2 linked regions of the Drosophila melanogaster genome follow. The protein of the gene in region 2 interacts with the protein of the main gene of each other region in a pairwise test. Each region holds a gene or a part of one and is shown on either strand. Other genes may lie near its edges.

What was found. Proteins that work in one complex are often made in the same cells at the same time.
Region 1: the proteins of CG1513 (region 2) and CG9205 interact in a two-hybrid assay, tested with the Drosophila melanogaster proteins (one large-scale study listed by BioGRID).

What each region holds. Positions count from the first base shown.
Region 1 is NT_037436.4:1,032,984-1,036,831, reverse strand, and holds CG9205 (uncharacterized protein), read right to left. Parts: upstream 2,136-3,848; 5' UTR 1,947-2,135; intron 1,648-1,946; exon of another isoform or gene 1,623-1,647; 5' UTR 1,459-1,622; coding exon 1,371-1,458; intron 1,273-1,370; coding exon 876-1,272; intron 801-875; coding exon 611-800; 3' UTR 534-610; downstream 1-533. Other genes in the region: trio, read left to right, coding at 3,004-3,182.
Region 2 is NT_033778.4:9,888,652-9,893,358, forward strand, and holds the start of CG1513 (uncharacterized protein), read right to left. Parts: upstream 3,039-4,707; 5' UTR 2,752-3,038; coding exon 2,584-2,751; intron 2,491-2,583; exon of another isoform or gene 2,429-2,490; coding exon of another isoform or gene 2,094-2,428; intron 2,036-2,093; coding exon of another isoform or gene 1,789-2,035; intron 1,730-1,788; coding exon of another isoform or gene 1,636-1,729; intron 1,510-1,635; coding exon of another isoform or gene 1,401-1,509; intron 1,345-1,400; coding exon of another isoform or gene 1,329-1,344; exon of another isoform or gene 1,227-1,328; intron 1,085-1,226; coding exon 956-1,084; intron 835-955; exon of another isoform or gene 474-834; coding exon 237-473; exon of another isoform or gene 164-236; coding exon 86-163; exon of another isoform or gene 71-85; coding exon of another isoform or gene 1-70. Other genes in the region: CG12923 (uncharacterized protein), read left to right, coding at 1-70; CG30008 (uncharacterized protein), read left to right, coding at 1,329-1,344, 1,401-1,509, 1,636-1,729, 1,789-2,035, 2,094-2,428; tea (telomere ends associated), read left to right, coding at 3,458-3,882, 3,937-4,251, 4,305-4,707.

The sequences.
Region 1 (3,848 bases), on a different chromosome or scaffold from region 2:
GCAAGCACACAATTGATTAATCGGACAAGAGTTAATTACGATGATAATGATAAACATGACTATTTTTGCATACGCAAGAACATCTACCATAGCCATAGCCCGTATATAAGCACACACGATATATAAGTATCTATGTAATCCCAGTTCCCCCAATAGACTTTGATGTTCCCACACGTATCGAAACTTAACGAATTACTTTCGGAATAGGATGTAATATAAGCAGTGGCAAGAGTTAGCGGCTAAATCTCCTGGATATTGTGTATCTTTGTACGATCTGGATCAGCGTCCAAGTCCACGTCCAAAACTCAACATTTTCTATAAACTTTAGTGCAAACTTTATGTTCAAATTAACTTTAAATGTCGAAATGAATGTTCTAATTAATCGAAGAAAACAAAAAACATAAAAACTTAAAAACGGAAAACCGAAACGAACAAAAAGTATTTTATAAAAACATTGAAAAGTAACCCAACCTGAAAGTCTTCTCATTGCTTACCAAACCGTTGTCTTGAATCTTGATTCTTGATTTTGCATTGCGGTTTGGCTTAGTGTTTATTGGGCATATCTTAGTGGAAACTGGAAACTGGAGACTATCCTTGCAGCATGCATCTCTCAAAGCACAAGAGGCACGGCCTCTGCCACCGGCTGGTTGATCTCCTGGTGGCGTTGCAGTAATCCCAAGCACTGGTGCAGGCACTGGGTGCTGGCCGTGGAGATCGCCTTGAGCAAAAGAAGATCGGGATCCGTTGGCGAGAAGGAAGCGCAGTCGATGCTCTCGATGGCCCTGGCCAGAGAAGCGTTGCTGGAAGGGTTTGGGGATAGATTTATAGATTGCAGGAGGTAATGCGGCGTTAGCTACGAATCACTGTGCAGTTACCATTGTTCCGTGAGAAACAGAGCTTGGCGCGCTGAAACCATGGCATCGGAGGCGGCAAGCAATTCCCGCGGAGGAAGCGGCGACGAGTTGCTGATGTCCATCGCCTTCATGTGACTCTCGACCACCGCCCGCAGGCCATCCACCCACTCCTGACGGGCCCTGGCATCGTTGGCCCTCAGCTTTACCGTATCGCCGGAGGCGCAGGCGATGGCGAACGTCCTAGAGTCCTCGTCACTCGGGTACACCACTGCGCCGGCCAGCTGCACCTGGCCCCTGGGAGCACTGGCCAGGACGTGGGGCGAGGGCGCGATGTCGTCGCCCACCGTCGACGAGTCGCACAGGTAGTAGCTCAGCGATCCTGTCTTGGCGTCCACCGTAAACCAACGGTACTGCCATCCTGCAAAGTGGATGCTGCGATTAGGGAAGCGGTTCTAGCGGGGATTCTATGGGATGGAGAGCTTGAAGGTGCTGCTCCAAAGGTGAAAGTTTGCTCACCCTTCATCACATTGGTGTATTTGCTGAGCTGACCGCAGAGTTTCAGTTTGGCCGATTCACGAATGATCCTGTTCAAGTTGCTCTCCATTTTGGCGGCGGCGTCCTTGGGATCGGGGCGCACTGGGGGCGTGGCCTGCCGTGGGCGGTGCTTCTTCTTGCGCTGGCGAAGCGAGTTCTTGATTTTGCGTAAAATGTTTGCAGGTATATTAATTTGATTCGGGTTTATTTGGTAAAACTCGGCAGAAACGGAAGCTAATGAACAACAGACAGTGTTGTATCAGCGAGCTTATGCTAGCAGGCGAGCATCGATAGTAGTACAATCGATGCCTGTTATCGTAGATAGTTGGTATTTTTACATATTATTTAAAAAAAGTCAAAATATTTAATATTTAATCATAGGTATCATTTTGAGATAATCATGAGCGTAACTATGTAGACTTTTTTAAGAAAAACTCTACTCAATTGCGATGCCTTATGACTATCGATTATTAACACCTATCGAGGCACGCAATCGGTGTGCTCGATTAAAAAAGGCTGAAAATTCAGTTTGTAAGCCGTTTCGGCATCTGGTCACACTTGTCGTTTCGCAAAATCCAATTTGTTTAAACAAAACAGAGAGCGCCCGTTCGTAAAATCGCGGTTTCTTGAAAAATGAAAATTTTAGCTTAGCCCGCGTCAAGTCGCGAACTGCGTGCAACGGTAACTTGGGTGATTTTACCGGTGGGAAAGCGTGTGAAAAACAAAAGCAGCGCGAGTGAAAAAAATCAATTTGGTGGCACAAGCAGTGGCAAGAAGAAGAGCCAAGACGCAAGAGAACTGCTTGCGGATGATGTGATGATACAGATATACATAGCATATACATATGTATATACAGGCTATATATACGTCTGGAGTTTGTGTTCAAATTGAGGCAATTAAAACATAGCGGATTTTCGCCCGTTCGCAGTGGCGAATGTTGTGTTGAGTGTGTATATTTCCAAATAATGTTTCAACTTGTGTGCCTGCCTGCGCGAGTTCTATTTGATGTTTTTATGCTGCGTGTGATTTATGACATTTAACGGGAGTACATATGTATACATGTGTGCACATGCCACATACACATACGCATATGTATGCACCCCCATGCGAGTGTGTGTGTTTGCCCGTCTGTTTGTATCTCCCTCTCACTCCCACACGCACGAAAGTGCGAGGGTGACTGAAGAAAAAAACTCCACTCCTTGCATCTAAAAATAGGAAAACTACACAAATTGTGTGCAAATTATGTGTAGCATTTAGAAAACCAAGTGAAATACCCATTGCTAATCTGCATCTCTGCTTCCCCACTCATTTTCCACCCACACACACACACGCACACACGGGCAAACACACGAAAACCGCAACAACACAAACACAACAGCAAAAGAGTGACCATGAAAATGCCAGCGAGAAATTTGCGAAAATCAATGAGCAAAAGCAGCGGTTCATAATAATAACTAATAACAGAGCCAAAACAAGTGAAATTCGAGGCTGGAATTCGTTATGCTGCAGTGCCCATCGTCGGATTAAAAAACGGGCGGAGACCCCCCAGTTTAACCCCTCCAGTGATTAACCCCCGGCCGCTTTAACCACCCCTCCCCCTTCCCCTGCCGACGGCATGGACGGCCAGCGGGCCAGGGATCTCCTGACCCTCCTCCAGGAACGGGTCGTCTTCCTCACGGGCGGACGGGACCGGCGCGGCGGACCGCTCCTCTGCTTCCCGGCCACGCCCCGTCGCGATCGCCTCAAGCCGGAGGATCTGCGGCGTCTCCTCAGCTACCTGATCAGCATTCCCAGGTGAGGATGTAGTTGCTACTACCACATAGGAATAGCCATTTAGTTAGTTAGGTTCTATTGACATCCAATTGGATCTGGGCAAAGGTCGTCCATCTCAAAATTGTCTATGTTATAACTATATTTATGTTATCTATGTATTACGAAAGCACACGTAGAAGTATAAATATATTAAAATACAGCAAGATAAATAATTATGAACATATTGCCGAGAAAAAAAAGAGTGCAGCTAATTCTTAATCTATGCCTGCACTTTATTACGTTAAGTTATTGTTTGATAAGCACTAGCCATGATAATAATTTAAAATTGCAATAATATGATAACACTCAGCAAAGTAAAGAGGACCATTTTCATATTTTGTACATTTAAATATGTTGCTTTTCTAGATTTCATCACAAACTAATTGGCTTAATTCGTAGCATAGACATTTACATTTTTATAGACTTTTTGATTTACGAGCTATAAATAAAGCATAGAAAATTCTTGGAACTTATAATGACTCACCCAAATCATCTTGCACCTAATTAAATTTTACACTTTTCATCTTGACATATACATTCTATATATGTATATTTGATCAACTTTTCTTTAAAAACGTCCAGCTTAGTTAAGTGCACTCAAAGTGGATTGCATGACTGCCAGCTTTAGTTACAATTTAGATGAATTGA
Region 2 (4,707 bases):
ACTCTCAAACAACTTTCGTGACGAACTCCACCTGGAGGTTGTAGTTACTGAGTCCGAGGGAAACGTGTAACCTCTGCTTACTTACATTTGCGTTGTCCTGGAGTGCCTTGCACTTAGACTGCTCCGCCGGATCGGTCAGCTCCGCGATGCGTTTGTCCAGTAACTGGGCAGGACAGAGAACAAGAAAAAATGACAATAAATTGCATAATGCCTGCATTACGTGGCACAATACTCACGTTCGTTTGCTCAATCATCAGCTGGAGGTAGGCATCTGCCTCGGAAACACGGCGCGCCACCAACTCCAGGTGGTTGGGTCTTCTGCCGCCTGTTCCGCTCCCGCCCCCTTCCTTCGTGTAGCCACCGGCGATGTAGAAAGCGCTTTGGCTGTCCCACAGACGCGACCGGTTCGCGTGGCGTCGAATGGTGTCCTCCAGGCGGCGCACCCACTGCTCCCGCTCCTCGTTGTGTCGCGCCTGCAAGCGTTTGGAAAGTTGGCAAGTTTAGTGGGCTCCTTTGCTTGTGTATGGGTATTGGAAAAAGTTTTATCGTTACATCAAGGCAACAAAGTCAAACAAAAGGTGGAACGTGAGGACCAGACAGTGGTTTCTGGGTCGATGCCCGGATACCCTTTTCCGGTAAGAGGACGAAAACTCTTGGCAAGCAAAGCGGATAGGCCATCATGCTTGCTTTATATCTTTTGGGACGAAAACGCGAATTGCAAAAAGAAACGTGCTGCCCTCTTGATCTACATAGTTTTTGCTTACGTATACCACTAGACGTCATAAAAAATCAATGCAAGTGTGGAATTTAAAATGAGTTGGTTCTTCAGTTCATAAAACAAACAACGTCGTACTTAAACTATTACGGTGAATTATGAACTATTAGTGAAACTGCAAAACATTGATCAAGCTTTCCTTAGACAATCTTTATTTCCATTTACTAAGGAGACACTTACCTGAAAGTGGAAGGTCTTATGGTCCACAGTGATTGTGAATGTGTTGTCCTCCTGGTCGTCGATTCCGATTAGCGCATCCTTTAAACGAACACAACCGCGCCTCACGCCCTTTATCATCTTATCCTTCGACTGTAACAGAAATGCAGTCGGAATTAGGAAAGTTCATTAAATCGCAGCTCATACTGTCAAAGGGCTATTACGCCTGCTATAAATTAATGTATTCTAATCAATGCTTGGGGAATATAAAAACAGTGTTCGGCGTGCTGTTCACGCTTAAATGTTCGCCAGCGGTCAAGGCGGTAGAGCTGCAGTCCACCAGTCCCACGCCACCTAAAGGATACAGGCCAGCGGAAGCTCAACACAAAGAAGCGAAATGGAGGCGTCAGCAAGTGAGCTCCTCTTGGATTTGTCAAAAAACTGTCTGATGGTTTCAATAAAATTGTAGGTATAAATTTGCAGCCGGTGGTGAACGTTCCTACGATTTATAAGGATCCCTGGTACATGATCACAGTGCTGGTCCTCTATCTGTACTTCGTCACCAAAGCGGGTCCGCAGTAAGTTCACATGCTAATGTCAGCGTCGCTTGTTTGCATGTGGGTCAGTGGACTTGACATTAGCAATTCAGCGGGTTCGCTGGCTTACTTATATAAGAAAGAAGACCTTTAATACCTCGCTTATAGTTTCATGGAATGGCGCAAACCTTACGAGCTCAAGCGACTTATCTTGCTACATAATTTCATCCAGGTGGTTTCCTGCATATATGCTATCAAAGAGGTGGATATTTATAAATTGTACAGCAGCAGCAGCATCGGCTAATTGCTTTTCTCTCGCAGGTCCTGTACATTACGGACAACACCATATACATCTTTTGGAAGTGCCGCGACATCGGGAGCAGCCCAGAGCTCGTGAGGCGGTACTACAACTTGGCCTACTTTCTCTTCTGGCTGAAGATCTCTGAGCTGATTGAAACCGTGATCTTTGTGCTTCGCAAGAAACAAAACCAGGTGTCCAAGCTGCACATCTTTCATCACTTCTCCACGGTAACGCTGGTCTACGCACTGATCAACTTCAACGAAAATGGTAAGCTAGCCGGCTGCTGGGTGACCGACTATTTTCATAAATGCGTTCAATTGTACAGGTTCTGCTGCTTACTTCTGCGTGTTCTTGAATTCTATCGTTCACGTTATCATGTACTCGTACTACTTTGTGGCGGCAGTGGCGGATAAGACCTTGGTGCAGGCCCTAACTCCAGTGAAGAAGTGCATCACAGTGATTCAGATGACGCAGTTCGTTCTTATCCTCACGCAGGTTGCTTTCCAGCTGGTATTGTGCGGCATGCCGCCCTTAGTGCTTCTCTACTTCACCACCGTCATTCTTGGCATGTTCTACGGCTTTTACGACTTCTATAATAGTGCCTATCAAGCCTCGCAGCGGCGCAAGAGTCAGACCCCTCAGTCAGACTCAAAAAAGTAATCTCCTGTCAACAAATCACGCAATAAAGGGGTACCAACAAGTGTGTATGTGTATCCAAATGTATCTATAGCAGATAAGATAAGGCTGCGGGCCATGAGGAGTTCGTTCTGGGTGCGATATGGGTTTCAGTCAGGAGGTGCACTGCAGCCACTCACCGTGTAATAGGACAGCAGTCCAGCATTCTCGTCCAGAACGAAGAAGCGGTACTGCCAGCCCTTCATCACATTCGTCCACTTGCTTAGCGTGCCCTCCAATGTGCCAGAGCCACCACTCCCGCTCTGGGGGGGTCCCAGGCTGGGGGCACTTCCAGTGGTGCTGGCCATTTGATCCAGCTCCCGTGACACGGCCACCGCCTCCTCCTCCGCCTTTGATCCCTCTGCGTCCTCGTGGCTAAAGGCTTTCCTTGTCCCCGGGCGCGGACCTGCCTCGTTCCCTGAGCTCTTTTCTGTCCAGGAGCTGATGATGACGCAATGTTGCTTCACAACTCGCACCCGCAATCTGTCACAGCCTCAACTCCGCTTGGAATTTGCAAAACAAAGCAAAGCCCTGCCAACTATCGATGTACGTAAACATCGATGATTTTCTAGCCCTCCGAATCGCAGCTCGAGTGTGACCGTGCGGCGACCGCTGGAATATACCACCTACTATACCTAGCACACCTTACAAATTTGGAGTCATTTGGAAAATCATAACATGTAAAATTAGCTAGCTATGAAATTATAACCCTGTTTAAATCAGCACAATAAATAAATAAACAATAAACAATAAAGCACAAAAGTATTAACTGGCTTGTAAAATTTTAAGTAAGTTCGAGTTCTCGTAGTGAAAATATTTAGTCGTTCGCTATCGATAAATATTGTCATTTTGCAGCACAGTCACACTGTGATATTCAGCCTAGTTTATTTCGCGGTATTGAAATGTGATGTTTATGATAAACAACAAATAACGTTACTTGCATAGAACAAGTCGTAAGGTTACTGTGAATCTTTTACATCTTAACATTAAATATTGTTTGATTTCAGGAGCAACATGTATCCAGTGTCCTTTGCGGCATTTCAAAAGTTAATCGTTAATTTGTCTGAAATTGCAAGTGAGTTGAAAACTGCCAATGGAGACAATAGAACGTTGGTCGAGTGGAGCAGATGGTACTACAAAGAGTTCTACCGGAATCCCAGCATACGGGCAAGGTTCCCTGTCAAGGTGGCGCCGTGTCCCAGGCGGACACGCGACAACTTGCTTAAAGTACCGGAGCCAGGAGGAATTTCACAAAACGATGTTGCAAACGTAGCAGCTGCAGGACCATCTCAAGTAGAGCAACCCGAAGTCTTAGTTGAAGGCAGCCAGTTGACGACGCTCGCTGAAACCGCGAAGTCCCATGATGCAGTTGAAGGCGTTGCAGTTGAATGTAAACCATCAGGATCGGAATCTCCAGACGTAATTGTTAATGTGGAGAGGTGGGTAATATTATTTTCGAGCAGAGCAGATTAACCAATTTTGACTCATTTCAGATGTGGCGCCTTCATCTTTCCGGTATCCTTTGATGTATTCCTACAGTGCATCAATAAGATGTTACTGTTCAAAAAAATTGTCAGGAGCATAGAACACTGCCTGGTCCTCTTGTCCGACGATGAGCGTCGTCTTCTTACACTACAAAGGTTCTACAACCGCTTTTACATGTATCCAGAAAAGCGATCCCCTACGAATATCTTCAATGCAACTACAGAAATCCCTTTGGAAAAGTTGCTTGAATCTGGGAAACCACTGGACAAAAAAGCGGTCAAGACTGTGGCGGAGCTTACTGCAATGAAATCCCTTACGAAAAAGTAAGTTTGGGACACTTTCCAAATACTCGTTGTTTACTATAAATATTTCACAGTTCCATCGTCAGCTTCGAGGTATTTAAGAAAAATATGGCAAACTTATCGGACATTGTGGAGCAAATGAGGCAACTGGATGCTAATTATGCGAGCAAGGATGTCCAGGAATGTGCCCTTGACTATTACCTGGCGTTTTACATTACTCCGAGGATCCGATATAAATACGCATACAAATTAAAACCTTGCACGTCGACTTTCAAGGCCTGCATGCTGTCCATTCTCGGCAAAGATATTGCCGAAAAGCTTAGGAAAAGCCTCCCTCAGTTAGCTAATCCCTCGCCAGGACTTGATTCGCGCAGGCCCAACACTTCATATATTACTGAGAGCAAAGGGTCATTAGGGTCGCAGAATACCAGTGGCTCTTCACAAATCCAAACCAGTCCCAGCATGGAGGTTGCCCAC